Caenorhabditis elegans: one gene and its partners. The main gene of each other region encodes a partner of the protein of the gene in region 3 in a complex. Each region holds a gene or a part of one and is shown on either strand. Other genes may lie near its edges. The genes, in order: sur-2, mdt-4, cdk-8 and mdt-15.

Region 1 (4,689 bases), 6.1 Mb from region 3:
TTTTTCCAGATTTTCGAGAATATCTATTATCCAAAACTTCTCTTTTTGGATTTTTTAAAAGAAAAAGTTACAAGAAAAATTAAAGATTTTGGTTTTCAATTTTTCTAAATGTCGGAAATCTAAAGTTTTGTTTTTTGGTAAATTTTTTTTTAAAAACATTTCAAGAAAATCTTAAGTTTCGGTATTTTTTTTCGAAATTTTATTTAAGAAGTGAAAAATTGGATTTTTCTGGAATTTTCTAAGAATAATTGAAAAAAAGAAATATTTTGGTTTTTCGATTTTTTTTTGAAGGTCTAAAAGTCAAGAACATTCAGATTTTTGAAGAATTTTCAAAAGATTTTGTTTAAATTATAGCTTTTATCCTAAGAATTTTGATTTTGGATTTTTTTTTCCTTCAGAAATAAACCAAAAATTGAAACGCTTAGTTTTTAAATTAAATTATTAGCTCTACTTTCAAATTTCTGGCTTTTCAAGACAATTTTGAAATTCAAAACTTGTGTTTTTCAAATAGAATCTTTTTTTTTTCGATTTTCTCTTTGAAAAACCCAAAAATTTAGCTTTCCTGAATGTCGGAAATCGAAATGTTCGGATTTTTTAGAATTTTACTTTAAAAGTAAAAAATTGGATTTTTTTTCTGAATTTGCGAAAAATAATTGAAAAAAGGAATATTTTTGTTTTTCGGGTTTCGCAAAATCGAAAAATTTGAAATACACTAACAATAAATGTTGTGTAATCCCATAAATAACAATATTAACAATATTGTCCCATTGATATCGTGGAATTGGCTCAGTTTCCGGTAGAGATTCTGCTTCGGCCATTGATTCACATATCATTACAGATATCAACATTTCCCAATTTGTCTTTGTCTTCGTTTTGCTCGGAGGATGAAGCTGAAACTTAATTCGGGATAAGTTATTTAAAATATATATATTCTCAATTTCATACCGAGTCCTTTCCCAATGGCTGACGAAGAATCATGTAGAGGGTGTACAAGTATGTAGAAGTATGTTCAGGACGATATGGAAGTGTATGATGAGGTTGAACAATTGTATTACTGGCATTTAATCCATGTTCTTCCCAACACGATGTTAATGGATAGAATGATGGATGTAGTGGAATGGGGTAAACGAATCCACGGCCACACACGTGGGATAGGTCGGCAATTGGTCGGAAATGGACGGATAAGCTTGCCAGTTTCTCCGTTAGTCTCTGTAATATTTGGCATTTTAATTTAATCTTAAGAAATATAGGCTTGGTAAATGAATCGAGATGGGTCGATCCGTGACTCATCTCGAGCCGCTTTTTGCAAAAAAAATCCACAATTGCCGGAATTGAAATTTCCGGCAAATCAGCAGATTGCCGGAAAATCAGCAAATTGCCGAAATTTTTCGGCAAATTGTGGTTTTGTACATTCAGATAATTTTTCGTCGATGAAGGTGATTTTTCAGTCAATCAGCATACAAATCAGGGGTGTGTGGCAAACGATTTTTTCGGCAAATCGGCAAAGTGCCGGAATTGAAATTTCCGGCAAATCGTGAAACCGGCAAATTTCCGAATTTACCGGAAAAATACCAATTGTCGAAAATTTTTGGCAAATTGTGGTTTCGCACTAATTTTTTGGGAATTTCAGAATTGTACGCATCCTGTGAGTGTTTGAATGTTTTTTTCTACATCTTTTTTGAAAAGTAAGCAAATTCTATAAAAATATCTGAGGAAAAGGGAAAAACAGCCCAAAAAGTCACAGTTTTAAGTGTTTCAGTCTTATGAAAAAATCCCTCAAAACATTTGCGGAAAATTTAACATCCGGTAAACGGCAAATCGGTAAACCAGCAAATTGCCCGATTTGCCGAACGGTAATTGCCGCCCACCCTTGGTAAAAACTTCAAATAAAATGTTGAGAAACTGAAAATTTAGAAATCAGAAGAAATTTCCCGTCATTTTTTTATGGCTTAAATTAAGTTTTTTAAAACTTCTGTAGTATTCAATTTGGTTTACTTTCTGTAACTCAAAAACTAAATGCACAGAAATTAGAAACTTTGCGAGAATGGTCGAACTTTTTTTTGGTTTCCGCCAAAAAAAAATTCGACTTTTTGAATGTAGAGAGATCTTTTTTTTGTGTTTTTTTTGCCGAAAAAAAAAATTAACAAATCTAAATTTTTACATTGTCTTTATATTTTCAGCAATTTTTTTTAAAATTTTCCCCTCACCGGCAGCATAAGCGCCTGTTTCGGCATTCCTCTCATAATTTCTGATAATGTGATGAGTGGAGGCATCAAATTGGAGTCTCTATCCACAATATGCAGTATTACATTCTCAACAATGCGGATTTCGTTTACTTGCTCCGGAGATAGTGAATACGGTAGGCGACGGAGCTGTGATTCCAGAATATATCGGAGGATATTCCGAATTCCTTTGTAATCGATTTTTGGAATGCAATCATTGATGAATTTCCATTTTTCTTGGCATATTCTACTGCATAATCGGAAGTCCGAAGTCATTATGAGTCCTTCTGCGCACAGATTCGTTGAAATCGCACCTTTTTGATGAGCATATCGGAGAAGCTGATCTACGACACGTTCGTAGTTTGTTCTGGAATAAAACACTGTTAAAACCTCTGATTATATGCAAAAGAACTGTTAAAATTGTTTTTTTTTCGAATTTTTAAATTCTCACCCAACAAAAACTCGATCAGGAGAGTTCTTTTCCGCCACGTGATGAACCATTTTTATTAGCTCTTTCACTAAAGATTGTTTTTCTTTTTCTTCCATTTTACTCATCATATTATTGAATTGAATCCGTAAAATCGCCGTCTCGTCGCCAATATTCGACGTAAGAGGTCGAAAAAATTTTCTTGTGTGGTTTTCTTCCTAGAATATATTTTTATGAGTTATGTTTAATTTTTTAAGCGTTATTTTTGATTTAAAAAACTCACAACGAGACTTTTAATTTGACTCTTTATTCGATTGACTTCCTGAACAAATTGCGGAGAGCACGTGTCATCCATTTCAATTGTATCTTCTGCGGAACCAGGTTTATCCGTCATTTTGTTGCCTGAAAATGTAATAATTTTCAAAAGAAAAATGTTAAAATAATAAATTGAAACAAAATAGGTTGATAAAAATTAAAAACGCATTGTTTGAGAAAGATATTACTGCGCCTCTTCTCTCTCACGCGTGACAATAGAGCGCGCTTGGTGTGTGGTCTCTTCGTTCACGCATATTCTGCGGATTTGAACTCTACCAGAGTTCTGCGAAAAAACTACTACATATATAATACATTTCACACATTTAAATATCTTGACTTTTATTGTAGGTAAACTGACATTTGGACTGATTTGCCAAATTTCTGTTGAAAATCAGTTTCAAGAAGCTGAAATCTAGATTAATTTATTTTTTTCATATCTTCATAAAAAGTACAGTTTATTCTCATTTACATTCCTTTAAATGGCGTGTTAAAATAATGAATTAATGTTCGATTTGCACTACAAGATTTCCTTTCGCTCCCTTGTTGTTCATAATTTCCTCATGAGCCAGTCCTAATTGCTCGAGACGATACAATTTGTTTATAAGTGGACGAAACTCGGTTTCCTTCAAGAATGAGACAATGTTGATGCCAAAGTCCAAGAGCTCAGCCTCGGAAGACATTCCCAATGCTACACCGTAAACAGCTCCTTCTGTAACCATAAGTTGTCTTGCGTTGATCGTGGTCTCGGCGCGATTTCCAATTACTGCAACTCTACCACGTGGAGCCAGCAATCCGAGGTCCGTGTTCAGATTTGTGTGAGCAGCCATTTCGAAAATGTGGTTGAAGCCTCCTGGATAATCATTTTTCATTTTCGACACATATTGCTTATCCGAATGATTATAGACATTCCGTGCACCAAGACTCTTCACGAACCGGATCCCATCAGCAGATCCAGCAGTGCCAACAGCTTCAATGTTCCTCCAGGCAGCCAGCTGCATCAGTGCACTTCCCACTCCACCAGATGCTCCGTGTACAAGTATAACGTCGCCAGTCTGAGAAGAGAATTAGTTTTGGGAGGGAACAGCAGATGGTCGTATTTTAGACCGCCCCTTGTTTGAGATGGAACAGATGGTCAAGTTGGCTTTGTAAAGATTGATTTGTATTGATTTTGCCTCCTAATTTTGATACGTTTTTGCCAAAATTTTAATATTCTCTATGAACCATTTAATAATAAATAAAAGTCAAACCTTTGCACCAGCAAGATGAAACAATGCACGATAAGCGGTAAGATAAGGCACTCCGAGAGAAGCTCCTTCCTCAAACGAAACTCCTGAAATGAGATTTTAGCTATATCTTAGGTCTCGCCACGCGGGCAACTAGCTACAGTAACCCGTTGCGCAATGATTCTTTTACCTTCCGGCAACTCGAATGGTCGATTCACCGCAACATACTCTGCTGTACTGTCCGCTTCTGATCCATACCAGACTCGATCGCCGACTTTCACATTTTTAACGCTTTCTCCCACAAGTTCGACGAATCCGGCTCCATCTTTTCCTGGTACATATGGAAGATTTGGTAGTTTTCCATACTGACCAGCACGAATATATGTGTCAACTGGATTGACACCGGCAGCGTAATTCCGAACGAGAACCTGGTTTTTTTCAAGCCTGGGCATATCACTCTCGACGGCTTCTATGACATCAGGTGCTCCGAATCGTCGGACTA
Region 2 (4,334 bases), on a different chromosome or scaffold from region 3:
ACGACACTCCGCTACCAGAGAAGCGCGTGTTGTTTAGTACAACTTTTTTCGTTTCATTTTTTTCTTAATATTTTAAAAATTAGAGGATTCTCTTTATCAAAATACTAATTTTAAGCATTTTAGATGGCAGAAACATTAGAAGCTGTAGAAGATGCAGTGGACATTCTTGAAAAAGAGGTAGCGTACACACATCCTCGAAAAGTGGCCGAGAAACAAAACATTTTAATTTCAGATGCTCTCCTTCTGCAACCTGATTCCAGTTAACTCTTGGGGATTTGATGATGATGTCAAAGAATCATTGAAGATGCGAAAACACAGTTTGGTTAATCGACAACTCAGCAAAAGTAATTTATTGATAAATTTCTTTAAAATTCTGTATGTTTTTCAGAGGAAAGAAAGTCAATGTCTGCACAACAGAAACAACATCTGGCGAAAGGCTTAGGATTGGTTCCAAACACTGTTCAAGAAGTCCTCGAGTGGATGTCTAAAAGCAAGCAGCATTCGAAAGTGCAACCACAAAAGGTTGTTGCACCGGTGAAGAGACCAGCGGATCAGAACAAGAATAAAGAAAAAGTAGTGAAGAAAGACCAGAAAAAGCAAGATAAGAAAGCTGATTCTGATTCAGAAGAGGATGATTCATCTGACGACGAGGAGAAAGAAGAAACAGACGAGCCAGTTGCTAAGAAGCAAAAGAAAGAAGAATCTTCAGATGATGATGAAGACAGTGAAGATGGAGAAGAGCCTGAAGGAAATAATGGAGCTGTAGAGGCTGAGGACAGCGATTCAACGGACGAAGAAGAAGAAACACCATCTAAACCCAACAAAACCGTAGCACAATCTACTCTGAAATCGAATGGAAAAATTGACAAGGAGATTCAAAAGTTGGAAGACGATGAAGACAATGAATCCCCCGAAATCAGACGTCAAATCGCTTTGCTGAGACTGCAGAAAAAGCTGAAGGAAATGAAAGTTGAGCGGAAAGGAAAAGGACCGGCGAAGGTAACATCAGCGATGGCTGAAAAAATGGCAGAGGAGAAGCGTTTGAAAAGACGGGAGAGCAAGCTGAAGCTGAAACAAAGAAGAGCAGAGGAGAAGAAAGGAAAAGAGGCAGCAGCTCAAGTGAAGAAAGAGACTGTTGAAAGCACAGAAAATGGCAATGAGCCTGTCGAGAAGCAGAAATCTGGAATTTCATTCAATAATCTCAAGTTTGAAATCAAAGAAGACAAGCAGAGGGGCAAGAAACAAAGAGTGAGTAAAAATATTTTTATCTGAAATATCTGAAATTTTCAGACCGCCAAAAAAGATCGAGCTCTTAAACTTACCGGACGTGACTATAAATCACTTATCGCTAAAGTCGAAGAGACAAAAGCAACAATTGCCAAAGTTCGCGAAGCTGATCCACATAAGGCTACCATCATGGAAGATGAGCTAAAGTGGGAGAAAACACTGAAAAGAGCAGCTGGTGGAAAAGTGAAAGATAATTTGGGAATGCTCAAGAAGGCTTTGGTGAAGAAGAATAAGATGAAGGATAGAAGAAAGCAGAAATGGGAGAACCGAGAGAATAAGACGGAGGGAGAGAAGCAAACGGTATGTTGATTGGTAGAAAATCCTTTAAGATTTGAATTTTTATTTTTCAGAAGCAAGACAAGAGAAAGAAGAATCTCCAGAAGCGCATCGATGACGTCAAGAAGAGAAAGATGAACAAGTTGAGAAACAAGGGAAGAATCCTCTAAACAACACACATTTATCCGCTTTTAATTTCTCGTTGTTGAACATTTTTTTGTTAATTTTTACTGTTAACTTTTTTCTTTAAATCTGTGGCCTGTTGTTAAGTTTTTAAGTTTTCAAATTATACTAAATTCTTTGAAAAATATTCTCTTTTTTTTTGAAACTTGTGCCGTTGTTTCGGTAATTAATTATTTTAAAAGTTGTTAATGTATGTTCGATGGTTGTATTGTTCTAGATCTCAAATGGCAGAAACAGATGAACGAAGTCTACGGGATTTGCTCCTGGAATCTGCAGATGATTTGGAGCATATTGTTAAAATGGTACGTTCTAAAAAAATTTGAAACAATATTATAGTTTATTTTAAAATTACTTTTTACTGTGAGTTCATCTTATAGAATTCATGAACCCACATAATCAATTATTGTTTCAGATCGTCGATACACTCATCAATCGGGACAAAAGTGTTATGCTGAAAAATGGAGAAACCGTTACGAACATTATCAAGCTGTTTGACTCAAAACAGGATAGCATAAAGACTTTGCTGAAGAGGGTTCCTGAGTTTCAAGAACGAGAGCAGCTCATTCGGACGCTTGAAGCCCACGTGGAGAAACGAGACGAAGTTATTCAACAACTTGAAACGAATTTGAAGTCATGTGAGGTGGCTCTGACGCGATCTTGTTTTCATGTAAATTTTGTTGGAAACAAAGACTTTTTTCGAAATACGTTTATTTCAGGCAAACCAGAAGCTCAAGCAAATGAAAGAAGCTGAATTGAGACCAGTCAATAGTGAGATGCTCATCAAACTGGCTCATCAGATCAGTAAGCACAACTCCGTATCTGCACCACTCACTTGGCAAATGGGAGATCCATCGCGTCCGTTTCCTCAGGAACACGAATTTCGAGCTGGTCACCTATTGAATTCAAAAGTTCAGAGCACTGGACCTCAGCTTTTACCCGGAAAGAACGTCGCTCAGAGGCCGCTTATTACGGTATGTTTATGGAAACTTGTTGAAATGTGAATCCTCACCTGAAATATTTGATAAATGCATTTATAAATGCATTTATATAAATGCAATACTTCTAATGTTTTCTACGTTAATCTGAAATTCTTTTCACACTGTAACCGAACAGCTGTGAATCACGTGATTTATGTCTTATCTTCTTACATTATCTAACAGTCATTCCTTCTAATGATCAAATTATGAGTGATAAGAAATATTCAGTTCATATTGTGATCTCTTTCCTTCTACGTTATTCGTAGTAAATTTTATAAATAAAATTAAGATTCAACGTTCAATCAATATTATTTCAGTCTCCATCCGCATCCTCATCCAACGGTGGAACAGCTCCAATTCGAACTGTCGGCACTCCTCTTATTAATTCTGCTCCGACTGGAGATTTCAGTCCACGAACTGGTTTTGGCACCGACGAGCCTCCACCGATTCAACAGCAAGTACTCCGTGGAGCCACTCCAAATGAAAAGCAATGGCAGAATCCGGGAGTTTCAGGAGCCACCTCAACGCAATCCCCTTACAACCGTGTCTCGCAGGTCAGTGCAAACCGAGTGTACATAGACAGTGTTACTGGCGGCCCGCAAATGATGCACGGGTGGCGCAGTGGTAACGCGTTTGCCCGTTGTTCAGCTGTCCACCAGTTCGATTCTCAATGCACACAGAAAGTCGAGATTGCCGGCTTCAAAGGCTTTATCGTTGATTACGTGTGCTATAACAACGCCATAGGTATCATTCTTCGTCTTCTTAGGCGCGGAACATCTAAATATGGCTACATTTATCTGCTATTTTATAATTTTCCAATAAATAACATATTTTCAGAGTCCTTCTTCCTCGCCAAACGTGAAGCTGAAAATTACTGGACTTCCGAATCGTCCAGGAGGTATCGATCAAGTTCAAGATGTGCGGGATGTCGAACAAATGTCGTCGGACAGCTCCAACTCGTCAGATAGTTCAGATGATGAAGGCGCATCGAAAAAGACTGGCAGTAGCAATAAATAATGAAAGATCTCTGTAAATTCTGGTATTTTACTTATTGTACGTTGATAAATAAACACAATTTTCTATATATCTTGTGTTTAACAGTGACACTAACTGATTGCATGTGGTTCAGTGTCCACGCCATGTTTACCGCTATGCCAGCTGCCTTTCTTTCTTTCTTTATGTCCTCTAATCTATTTACTCCTTGAACTTTTTTTTCAACAATTCTAGTAACTAATTATATTTAGAAATATGCCAAATTTTGGAATATACCTAAGTTAGCTTTTGATTCAAATCTTATTTTAAAAAAACACTCACCCCATCTAGAGACGCAGAAACGAAAGGGACCACCCATGACAAGAGAGATGCGGAGTACGTGAAAAGATGCACAAAACATGTTGCAGTGAAAGTGTTGTTAGCCATCACTTTTTTTTGTTTTTGTGGGCTCAAATCAGTTTGAAGAAAAGTTGAAGTTGTAAAATTTCGCCTCCTTTCGTTTTTTATGTCATTTTATATTACTTGCCCTTTGGTAATAGATAAGAAATTATCTCTCCCATCAGACACATTCCCACACATCTTCTTTTGACTTGCCTCCACACAACTAATCTAGATATA
Region 3 (5,685 bases):
TGTGATGGATGGAGAAGAGCCGATTGTAATTTTTGAGAAATTGAAGACAATTTTTAGAATATAATTTATTGCAGCATCTCTGACTTCTTTGGCAGGTCACATCTCATCGAATACAAGCATTTTCCAATCAAGTGGATCCGAAAAATGTGAAAATAAATTAGTGGTATTGTGTGTTGAGGTTCGTTTTTTATTTAAATTGAAGTGTTCAAACGATCGTTGTGAGACCATCAGAGAAAAAGAAATATTATTTCCAAACAGCTTTAAAATCTTAAAATTAAAATGTTTGCAGAACATGTCCAAGTATCACGGTGACCGAATTCTCCGCTTGCATCGAATCACATCCGACTTCAAAAAATGAACGACTTCCAATATAGAATTTCAATTTTAAAATTGTTTTAAATGATTATACCCCAACCTTACGATGAAAAAATCTCGAACCCCCCCTGAAAAACGGCTTCATTCACTCATTTTGCTTTGTTTTCTATTTTGAATTAAACCAAAAAAATCTTTCCGAATTTGATTTTGATAACTGCCACGTATTTTCTCAATTTTATTGTGAACGTATTTCAAAAAAATACAATTTACAAAGCCTTCAAATTACACATGACGAGCAATATTAGTTTGATGTGAGTACTATAGATACATACATGTTACAAATGAAATGTTTATCGATGATATTGTTGTTGCCATTGCTGTTGTTGCTGTTGATTTGGACCGGGTTGCTGTTGTCCCATTTGAGGGGGAGCCATTCCACGACCAGGCATATATCCTTGTGGTGGAACTCCTGGAGCACGCATGCCCATTTGCATTCCCATTTGTGGATTCATATATCCTTGAGGTCCTGGTCCAGGAACTGCTCCTGTTGGTTGTCCTGGTCGTTGTGGATAGTAGCCGGATGGTCCCGGTTGTTGCATCATTTGCACCATTGGTGGACCTTGTTGCGGGTGATAGTCTTGTGGAGCACCGTATGGAGGAGGCATCGGTGCATACTGCAATTGTAGAATTGAACATAAGAATTTGAAAAGTGGAGTATTGCCATAGGGAAAAATGATGAAAATCACTCCTATGATCTTAAAATGACCCAATATCCTAGTAACGCTTTTCAACAATTTTTCAAAATAGTTTTACCTACAGTAAAAAGTGAAAATTACTTCATCTACCATGATTTGGAAATAAACCAAAAATTATCAAAATTAGTTTCTATCTACTATTTTGCAACGATTAACGAATATTTCAAGAAATTTCAATTTTTGAAAGTTTGGCAATTTACCAACAAAAAAATTATAAATCATTTTACAAAAATTTGCAAATTCAACAATCAATCTATCAAAATTTGCGAAATTTGGAAATTTACAAAAACTTTGAAAATTTGAAATCCTTAATTATGATATTCAGCCATGTTATGTTTTTTATTATTATTTTCTAATTAAAAAGCTTACTCTTCCAACAGGAACATTTCCCATTCTCATCATTTTTGCTTGTGGTCCTTCATCCATTCCACCTTGCATTGGATCATGCATTCCTTGATATTGCATCTGAACAGAAAAAGTTAACTTTTCATTCTGAATATTTAGAAAACTGACATGATGCTGTTGTGGATGCTGTTGTTGCTGCATCATTTGATGTGGATGTCCATCTGGAGCAACAACTCCGGGATGTGCTCCACCCATTGGTGGTTGTCCCATCTGAGGTTGTACCATTTGAGGTTGTCCCATCATTTGTTGCTGTCCCATTTGTGGTTGTTGTTGCATTTGAACTTGTTGTTGTTGATGCTGTTGTTGTGCTTGATCTGGTGCAACCTGTAAAAGAATCTTGGGAACATTTGCAGTGTATTCAACAATTGATGCCCTTACCGTCATCTGCTGTTCCTTCTTCGCGTATGGAATTGGATATTTATTGAACACGTCGTCAGTCTCCCTTGGTGGTCTTTCCATTTTCTGCAAATGGTTTTTTCAAATATTATTCAAATTAAATTTCAAACGAACTCTAAAATAAATATCATTCATCGCTTCTTCACAACTGACACGTTTTGTAGGGTCAACTGTGAGCAATTTGACAAGTAATCTATATGGAGAGCTTTGTGAATTGATTTTCCATTTATCAAAGTATCGATGCAAGCTGTTTGGAAATGTTTGAATTGGTGTTCTGAAAATTGTTTATTTATAATTATGTAAAACTTTTTTAAAGCCGTTATATATTGCAATACAAATTCACACATCCGAAATTCTCTCAAATTCGGAAATGCCACAAAAAATGGAAAAAATCGCAAGAATGAAAAACCAACTTTTGAAATCGCGATTTTCAATTGTTTGAATTGCCACCTAAATGAGAACTGCGACCAATCAGCGACTCGTTTTTTAATCTTGGATTTTTAATTCTTTCGCGATTTTTTTTTCCTTTTTTTGTGGTATTTCCTAATTTGAGACTAATTCGGTTTCATTGAAGCCATTCACGCTACTGAAAAAAATAATGTGCCTTTAAGTAATCTATCAAAATAAATTTGAAAACTTTTATATTATAATTTACCCTTCATTTCTAGCATCGCTTAGAAGTCTTTGATGATCCGGCATTTTCTTCATATCAGGCCAATCAGCATCTGATGGGTATCCGAGTAGATGGAATATTCTTTAAAAATTTCGAATAGTTAATGATTTTAATTTCCAAAAAATCTGTACCTTTTCACTTGATCATAGTGATATGGATTTTGTGCCTTGATGTCTTCCTCTTTACAGAAAAATAATGGTTCAGCGGTAAGAAGTTCGGCAAAAATGCATCCGATAGCCCATACGTCAATAGCCTGAGATTATGCATTTTTTCCTTATTAAATAGATTTTTCAACGTACCTTTGTATAATGCTTTGCTCCGAGAAGCAATTCAGGTGCTCTGTACCAGAATGTGACAACTACTGGATCTAATTCAGCCATCGGTTTCAGAGGATTTGCATAGATTCTTGAAAATCCCAAATCAGCAATTTTTACCCTAGAATTATTATTTCATATTATCGCATAAATTTCAAATTCAGTCAAACCTTCCTCTCATGTCAGGTGGTCCATCACCCATTAATAGAATATTTGCTGGTTTGAGATCTCGATGTAGTACCCAGTTTGAATGTAAATAATGCATTCCTGAATATTTTAAAATACAGTTGAGTGAAATTGGATTTTAGAATTTCAAACCTGATAAAATTTGAAACAATATATTTTTGACCATATTCCGTGGCACCATAATTGGGACTTTCTTGCTTTTAGCTGTTCGATGATGTTTGATAACGTGCCAGAGATCGTGTTCAGCATAATCCAATAAAAGCCAGACTTTTTTTTCGTTGGTAAGAAATACACGTTGAAGACAGATTAAATTCGGATGCCTGAAACATTTTTTTTTTTTGAATATCTACTTCAGTTTTTTTTTCGAATTTTAGATTATAAAAAGGGGAAAATCTCGAATTCAATCTTCATTTTAAATTAATATTATTTAATCGGTGAAATTACCTTAATTCTCTGAATAGAGCAATTTCTCTGCATGCAGACATTGAAAATCCTTGTCCCTCAATCATTTTTAATGCGTATTCTTTGTTAGGAAATTGTCCATTTTGCTTTTTCGGAACTGCTTTATAAACTAATCCATATGTTCCTCTGCCGATTTCTTTTGAATTTTCAAAGTAGAAAAGGTCTTCTACTCTCTCTCGACGCTGTGCCAATTGTTTTTTGAAGTTTTCATCAATCATTAATCTGCAATAGGGATTTTCTGATTTATTTATAGTGCAAATTTCCAACTTACGTCATTTTTCAGTTACTACAGCGAATACTACTCAGTCTTTATGCCAGGAAAATCGATGTCCAGAAAAACGAAAATTAAAATTGAAGTGTACGGTAAGGAAGTCCGCAAACACTGCACCCACGTACTAAACACCAAATATCACGACATCTTCGTCGGTCTTCGTTTTCTAGCACTTTTTCTTGTGGCAAATTCTCGCCGAACGTCACTTCTTCTTCCCAAAGAACACAGCGTTAAGACTGAAAAATCAATAAATTAACTAATCAATAAATGCCACATGTCTAACAGACAAATAACTAGGAGGAATGCACATTCAGAGAGGATACTCTGGTTTGGCAGCGAATAACGCTTTCAATCGATCCTGTAACCGCGTTTGCCTCAAATCAGTTTAGAATGAACAAACCGAATATTGTATTTTGGATATTATTTTGTCTGAATTTAAAATAAACTGGTCGTCGGAAATAAATATTTCTTAACTTTTCCAGAATTTTCTAACATAAATCAAAAAATTCTTATGTTCTCACGAAGTCTCGCTCTCTCGTTGTTGCAGATTTTAGCATTTGTCGAGTTTTCAAAAGATAACAACTCAAATTTACAGGCCGATCAGTTCAAATGCAAATGGGTGATCATCAAATGATGGGAAACCAGAGGTATGAGTTGAATTAAAAAATAGCTTGTTCAGTTTTAGTTATTTGGATCAAGAAATCCAATAACAACACTCGAAAGATATTACAGAACTTACGTTCAAAAAGTGATGCCTGCACAAGCTGGTGGTGCAGTATCACAAAATGCCACGTATGTGCAAACGGCAGGAATTCGAACGGTTCATCACGACGGAAACGGACAGCAGAGGGTGAGATTTTGAAGAATATAATCAAATTTTGTTCGAGACAAGACATATGCTTGAATTTATGAATTAAAGTTTATTTCAGATAGTTCAACTACCCCCGGGAGTACGTCAGATTCAGCAAAATGGTGTCGGTCCTGCCTATGTTCGCCAAGTTCCTGGTGGTCAACCAATGCAAGTAAACTTTGGACATCCAGTAAGTCTTTATTATCAGTTTCTCAATCAACATAACAAATTCTAAGAATTGAAACAAAATTTCAAATTCACGAAACTATTTTAATTTTTCAAAAGAAATTGCAGGGAACGATAGCGGGTCGAAATGTTGCAGTTGGTGTTCAAATGCGACCTGTGCAAGGACATAACGTTCAACAAGGTTATCAGAGTAAGTTTTTAATTTTATTTAGAAAATTGATAGTCAATATTTAATTGATGTTATTCAAAACAAAATATTTTTTTTTTTAAATCGGTTTTATTTCAATTTATTTACGGTCTCCGGATGCCGTGTGTTTTATCAATAGAATACAAGTACTACGTATATCTAGAATCGCGTATATGTTTCTGCAATAATTAATTGTTTTATTGGAATAATATTCTAGACACAAATTAACTCTACATTTACATTTCGAATAACTCGATTTCTGATTTTTGAACGATTGAAGTTTCACATATTTTCCAAAAGGAAAAATTAAATATTGATTAAATTTTCACTGTTTTTGCAAACAAAAAAAAATCGAAAACAATCAAAATAATTCTGGAAAATTTCAAACTCGTGTGTTGGGTCTCACATTACGTGTTGTATAAGACATTCTTGTTTGAAAAACTGAAAAGAGTTTTAAATTTAATTCCAGGACAGCAAGTAGCAAATCAAATTCAACAACAAAATCGAGCTGTATTTATGGCACAAAATCAGCAAGGACAACAACAGATAAGCTATGCGCAAGCACAACATCGACAACAACAACAGGTATGTTTCATGATTATCATTTACTATCATTTACTATATATAAAGCGCGTGTCCTTCTGTCCCTATGTAGTTTGATCTCTGATCAGAGCAACGAAATTTT
Region 4 (5,717 bases), on a different chromosome or scaffold from region 3:
TAAATGATTTGCTCCCCCTTTTCGTTTTCTTTTTCTTCTTGCGTTGATTTTTCACATTGTTATTGCACTTGGCAGTGTCGTATTTTTGTGTTTTTATTTTGACCCATAAGTTCTAATACGATATCTTAGGCTCCCAGCTTGACTGGTGCTCTCATAATTTGAAATCAGAAGTTTTTCTTTTAAAAATTGAAAAAAGTGCACATTTTTCTTAAATTTTGAAGCTAAATATTTGAAATCTTCCACACTTCTAGTTTAATTCTCGATAACATCTGATAATTCTTTCCAAAATTTCAGGTCGAGCTGGCAAACATGGAAAAGCAATCACATTCCTCACACCTGACGATACTGCCGTCTATTTCGACTTGAAGCAGGTAAAAATTGTGGACGGACACCTTCCAACACACGTGTAATTGGTTTACTTTCCAGTGCGCGCTAACCGAATTCCCTTTCGTCTTTTTTCGCGCGCGCTCTCCGGCACTTCACACATGTGTTGTGGTGCTGGAAGGTTGCCTAATTTCTTGCACTTGAGCTGGTTTTCTCTCTGCGACGAAAATGGATTTTTTGTTAGGCGGAAAACGGAATTCGTTTTTTTTGTAAGAAAATGAAAATTATTCGGGAATGATAAGACCGGTAAAACGTTCCATAAGATAAGAACATATTTCAGCGTTCTAGAGCAATTTAAAACAAAAAAATGTTGTGATTAATTCTACAATTTTTGCGCCGAAAATACGGTACCCGGTCTCGACACGACAGAAATTGTTGTTAACTGCGAAAGGTCTGCGTCTTTAAAGAGTTCGGTAACTTCAAATTTTCATTACTGCGGTAATTTCAAATTTTCATTTCATTGAGTTTTCCCATAAATTCATAAATATATTTTTTTATCGAAAAACAATGAAAAATCTTTAAAAATTCGACTGAGATTAAAGTTTGGAGTTACAGTACTCTTTAAAGGCGCACACCTTTCACATTCATCAAGAGAGTGTCGTGTCGAGACCGGGTGCCGTTTTTTTGTCAAAAACTAGAAGAATTACGTTGACGCGAAATGTATGTCCCCTTGCTTTACAAAATTTTATACACAAAACATTTAATTTTTAAATTTTCCAGGTTCTCGTTGAATTGCCTGCGTCGTTATGCCCGAATGGACTCGCGGAACATGATGCTGCACGGAGCAAACCTAGACAATTCACATCTTGATGTGAAAGTGAACTTTTTGTTTGAAAATTTCAAACATTTTTCAGTTTTTTTAAAACTTACCAAATCTTCCAAATAATACTAACCACCACATATCTTCCATTAAAAAATTTAACGTTTTTCAGCGTTCTGAATATCTTATCTCTCTGGTCCATTTCTCCTACAGAATATCTCTATCTCATAATTGCCTATTTTTATTTGTTTTTCTTTCTTAATTTCAAGCGTTTGGGATATCTTATCTCTCTCAACTCCGTTTATTTTTTTCTCCTTATCCGTCTCCTTATCCGTATTCCTTTATTATTAATCTCTTCTTCGTTCAACATCGCTAAATATTTTTTTCAATTCCTAATTTCAGGTCAAACCGGGGAACGAATCAAAAAGTGATTTTGCCGTCGGCGATCCGAAAATTTTGCCGGCTCGTCGACTATTGACGAGAACAAGAGGTGAGAAAATGGGGAACTTTTTGATATTTCCATCCTGATCTTTTGTGAATTGAAAGTTGAATCACAATAGATCGATGCACCATAATACAAAAAGTGACAATTTTTCCCCACTTTCAACCATCCATTATTCTATTTCTTTTGCAGGAATCGTCGTTATTTTTCGTTTGCCGCGTTCGTCGTTTTGATTTGTTCTTCATTTTCCTTCTTGTCGATAATTGTGTGTGAATCAAGACGCTCAGAAAGCCGCCGCCACGTTGACGTCGACGGTTGTTGAATCGCTTGCAAAAGCAACATTTCAAAAACAAGAGCAGAGTAGAAAGATGAGCGAAGAGGATTGGCCTTCGCCGAAATTTCGAGAGCATGTTATTCAGAGACTGTAAGCTTTTTTTAAAGGAATATTTTTTTGATAACCGAGAAAACATTTTAAAAAATTTTTTTTTTGTTGAAAATTTCCAAAAATTTCCATTCAAAATTTTGATAAATTCCCAAGTATTTGTAAATTATAAACCATAGGAGCTGATGTCACAAATGTATCCAGGCTGTACTCTTTTTAAAAATGAAAAAAAAATCCCGAAATATAAAAATTTTCCAATTTTCAGTGAGCCTGAGTTGGCGAGAAACCGGCAGAATGCCCCAAATTTACCAGTACCCGGTGACGCGAGGCAGGTCGAAGAATATGTGTTCGCAAAGTGTATGTCGAAGGACGAATATATGAGGACGATCGCAAAAGTGATTAATGCTATCAATTGTAATAGTAAATCAGCGGCAGTGCCTTCCGTGTTACAACCATCACAGTTTCATAGTCCGCCGTGTACGACAGCAGGTAACTTTTTGTAGTTTTTTGTGGCAACGAAAATCTAAAATTTCAATTAGCTCTATTAGGAAACACTCCGGCTGGCGGAACACCCGGATATCGAGCTCCTGTGCCTCCAGATCCACAACCAACATCAGCTCAGGCAAGAAATCCACCTGTTACCGTAGCAACAACACAGGCATCAACAACTCCATCAGCACCAAATCCGCCAGGAGGATTGCCTGCTCCATCAGCTTCTGCCACTGCTGCTGTTGCCGCCGCGGTTGCTTCATTTCCATCACCAGATACAAGTATTCGTCCAGGTGGACAGATCACTCCAGGATCACAGGCACCCGGTGGAGGTCCGACGCCGGCACCAAATGTTCCATTCCCAAATGGAAGCAGCCAGATGAATGGTGGACCAGCAATGGGTCAGCCACCACCGCAAATGGGTGCTCCAAATATGGGTGGACCACCGAATGGATACGGTGGTTACGGTATGATGAATGGACCACCTGGTAGTGGTGCTCCAATGGGTGGAAATCCGTACAATCAGCAGATTAAAAAGGATGTGAGTTTATTTTTCAAATGTATTTTTTTTTAATCTGCTAATTTTTCAATTTTTGATTAATTTTTTTTTCAGATGGATCAAGCTCGTCCTTGGGATCCTTCAGCACATATGTATCAACAACAACCACAATGGGGTGCAATGCCACCACAACAACCACATGGATATCCTGGAAGACCAATGAACGGTCAAGGAGCCACTCCAACCGGTCCTTCATCAGTTCTTGAATCACTTATCAATCAGCCTCAACAATATCCAGGACATCACAATCAGATGGGCCCACCTGGAGATCGAAATGTTGCTGCTCAACGTGCAGCTGCCCAACAACAGCAACAACAACAACAACAGCAGCAACAGCAACGACCCGGAATGGTTCCAAACCAGGGAATGATGAGTTCCGAGGATCAAACCGTGTATTCTGCGAAATTGAGAAATATGCGTGGAAGCTGCGACAGTTTGAGAACACGAGCAAGGCAATGCAGACATGAGGGTAACCATGAAGCTGCTCACAAGCTTGAGGTTATGCTCAGTGTGCTCGAAGGAAAACGTGTGGTTAGCCTTGAATACTTGAACCATTTGGAGATGTGGATTGCCAGAAAGCAAGACTTCTTGAATATTGCTCCAATGTCACAGAATCAGAATCATATGGGAATGAACGATCCGATGATGAACGGTGAACATGCTATGTTGGGTAATGGTCAGGTGCCAAATCCCTACGGAGGACATCCAGGTTATGGACATCAGCAGTATATGGGACCTCCACCACCACATATGCAAATGCATCAACCACCAATGTGGCATCAACAGCAACACCAACAGCAGCAACGAATGATGCCACAGGATCATATGATGATGCAGGGTGGAGGTGGTCCAGTTCATGGAATGTATCGTGGAGATATGGGACACGATCCGATGACATCACCAGTCAACAATCATCGTCATGCTCCATACCCGAATCCTGCAGCGATGAGAAACAATATGAGAATGCCAAATGGTCCTGGACCAATTGGAAGAGATCGTAATTCGATGAGTGGATCAAGTATGTCAGGTCCAAGTTCTGGAGCCCCTTCAATGAATCCAATGGGTACACCGAATCAAAAAATGGGAACACCTGGATCAATGGGTGGAATGTCAGGACTTGATGATCTGAACTATGATGATTTCCTTCCAAACCCAACGCCGATTGATGCACTTCAGCCAACATTGCACGTCGGGCAGAATTCGATGAATGTAAGTTTTATATTAAAAATTGAGTTTCTCAGCTTTCAAAAAAAAAAAACACACAAAGTATCCTCAAATGATTTTTGAAAAAAGTGAAAAATAATTGTGTCGCCGAAAACACGAAAAAAAAAATCGAAAAACGAAAAACCTCTGATCTCAAACAGGGACACCAAAAACATTTTAGACCAAAAACAAAACATTTTCGTATTTTTTCTTCTCCCGACTAAAAATCAACATTTTCGCAATTCAGTTTTTTTTTCTTTTTTTGGTCCGAAAAAACCAACAAGATTACCAAAAAATCTATTTTTACAAAAAAAAAATCAACAGCCAATCAATAATCTCAATCAATAAATATTCAGGCTGGTCCACCAGTTCAACGATCAAATCTCAATGAAACAGCAAGAAAGGAACTTCAAATCCTTGATGCTCGATTCGAGATTGATCCAAACCATCAACGTCATGATGCCAATCATATCATTGTCGTCTGTAAAATCCGTAATCAACAGTTCCCACCACTTCGACTCGTTGTTCCAACCACTTATCCAGCTGGAAATGTGACTGTAGATCGAGCAGTCATTGATTTGGATGCATATTTGTATGATGATCTACAAAATTCAGTATATGAGAGATTATCACGACCCGGTCTTTCGTCAATTACTGACTATTTGAATGCTTGGGTAAGTTCTTTCGCTGAGAAAGGGAAATTTATGAAAATTGCACTTCAAATTGAATTTTAAATTTATAATTTTCTACAGGAAGAACAAGTGAATCAATACCAAAACCAGACAAGCGGTGGTCTAGACGTCGCTTTCAACGTGGGCAACGATTTCTTCTACGATAATCTTAACTTGTAAGTTAGGTAGAGTGCATTAAGTTTCTTTTTTTGTGCCTGCTCACTAAAAGTTTTGTTATTCAATGTTTATTTTTGTAAAATAATAAAAAATATGAAAAACATTATAAAATAAAGTTGGAAGTGAAAAAATTCCGGAAAGTTTTAATTTTTGTAATAACTTTACAAAAAGTATTACTCAAACGCGAAAGTTTACGATTTTTCACCAAAATTACGGTAACCGGTCTCGACACGAAAAATGTTGGTCAAATGCGAAAATATGTGCGTCTTTAAAGAGTACTCTATTTTTTCATCGTTTTTTGATTAAAAAAATATATACCTGTCAATCTAAAAAAAATACCCGAATTTGACAATGAAAACACAATTAATATGATTTGAAACATGATTTTAAAATTACAGTACTCTTTAAAAACGCAAACCTTTAAAAAAATTAGAAGACAGTTTTTTTTAAACAAACTGTTTTCTTCTCAATCAATGTTTTCTAATTTTCAGGTCAAATCCGTTCTAAACTCCGCCTCGTCTGAATTGAATTGCTCAGTTGCACAAAACCTGTACAAAAAAGAAAATCGAGTCTTCGTGGAATGGATTCAGTTGTTGTTGTCCTCTATAAATGATTGTTTTGCCTCCTCCTCCTATCATCAGCTTGCCCTT

What was found.
Region 1: cdk-8 (region 3) and sur-2 share a complex: the UniProt entries of both Caenorhabditis elegans proteins name them as parts of the mediator complex.
Region 2: cdk-8 (region 3) and mdt-4 share a complex: the UniProt entries of both Caenorhabditis elegans proteins name them as parts of the mediator complex.
Region 4: cdk-8 (region 3) and mdt-15 share a complex: the UniProt entries of both Caenorhabditis elegans proteins name them as parts of the mediator complex.

Annotation. Positions count from the first base shown.
Region 1 is NC_003279.8:14,784,754-14,789,442, forward strand, and holds the start of sur-2 (Mediator of RNA polymerase II transcription subunit 23), read right to left. Parts: upstream 3,051-4,689; 5' UTR 3,044-3,050; coding exon 2,933-3,043; intron 2,868-2,932; coding exon 2,674-2,867; intron 2,590-2,673; coding exon 2,208-2,589; intron 1,210-2,207; coding exon 946-1,209; intron 891-945; coding exon 718-890; intron 1-717. Other genes in the region: F39B2.3 (15-oxoprostaglandin 13-reductase), read right to left, coding at 3,465-4,016, 4,212-4,294, 4,378-4,689. UniProt on the Caenorhabditis elegans protein: Component of the Mediator complex, a coactivator involved in regulated gene transcription of nearly all RNA polymerase II-dependent genes.
Region 2 is NC_003280.10:4,941,579-4,945,912, reverse strand, and holds mdt-4 (Mediator of RNA polymerase II transcription subunit 4), read left to right. Parts: upstream 1-1,963; 5' UTR 1,964-1,970; coding exon 1,971-2,048; intron 2,049-2,158; coding exon 2,159-2,413; intron 2,414-2,462; coding exon 2,463-2,717; intron 2,718-3,040; coding exon 3,041-3,277; intron 3,278-3,393; exon of another isoform or gene 3,394-3,560; coding exon 3,561-3,740; coding exon of another isoform or gene 3,741-3,750; 3' UTR 3,751-3,806; downstream 3,807-4,334. Other genes in the region: SURF6 homolog gldi-11, read left to right, coding at 124-177, 233-344, 389-1,248, 1,291-1,587, 1,638-1,733; ZK546.19 (uncharacterized protein), read right to left, coding at 3,595-3,750, 4,038-4,142. UniProt on the Caenorhabditis elegans protein: Component of the Mediator complex, a coactivator involved in the regulated transcription of nearly all RNA polymerase II-dependent genes.
Region 3 is NC_003279.8:8,700,659-8,706,343, reverse strand, and holds cdk-8 (Cyclin-dependent kinase 8), read right to left. Parts: upstream 3,879-5,685; 5' UTR 3,783-3,878; coding exon 3,778-3,782; intron 3,729-3,777; coding exon 3,489-3,728; intron 3,365-3,488; coding exon 3,177-3,364; intron 3,126-3,176; coding exon 3,029-3,125; intron 2,980-3,028; coding exon 2,844-2,979; intron 2,798-2,843; coding exon 2,676-2,797; intron 2,626-2,675; coding exon 2,527-2,625; intron 2,146-2,526; coding exon 1,986-2,145; intron 1,938-1,985; coding exon 1,854-1,937; intron 1,800-1,853; coding exon 1,584-1,799; intron 1,536-1,583; coding exon 1,440-1,535; intron 990-1,439; coding exon 666-989; 3' UTR 519-665; downstream 1-518. Other genes in the region: cle-1 (Fibronectin type-III domain-containing protein), read left to right, coding at 1-25, 75-178, 290-358; tlf-1 (TATA box-binding protein-like 1), read left to right, coding at 4,387-4,424, 4,501-4,627, 4,707-4,817, 4,922-5,003, 5,470-5,585. UniProt on the Caenorhabditis elegans protein: Component of the Mediator complex, a coactivator involved in regulated gene transcription of nearly all RNA polymerase II-dependent genes.
Region 4 is NC_003281.10:5,829,575-5,835,291, reverse strand, and holds mdt-15 (Mediator of RNA polymerase II transcription subunit 15), read left to right. Parts: upstream 1-1,546; 5' UTR 1,547-1,634; intron 1,635-1,778; 5' UTR 1,779-1,815; coding exon of another isoform or gene 1,816-1,908; 5' UTR 1,909-1,954; coding exon 1,955-2,010; intron 2,011-2,233; coding exon 2,234-2,457; intron 2,458-2,507; coding exon 2,508-2,998; intron 2,999-3,070; coding exon 3,071-4,225; intron 4,226-4,575; coding exon 4,576-4,893; intron 4,894-4,971; coding exon 4,972-5,070; 3' UTR 5,071-5,167; downstream 5,168-5,717. Other genes in the region: R12B2.6 (uncharacterized protein), read left to right, coding at 1,139-1,270; R12B2.13 (uncharacterized protein), read left to right, coding at 1,816-1,908. UniProt on the Caenorhabditis elegans protein: Component of the Mediator complex, a coactivator involved in regulated gene transcription of nearly all RNA polymerase II-dependent genes.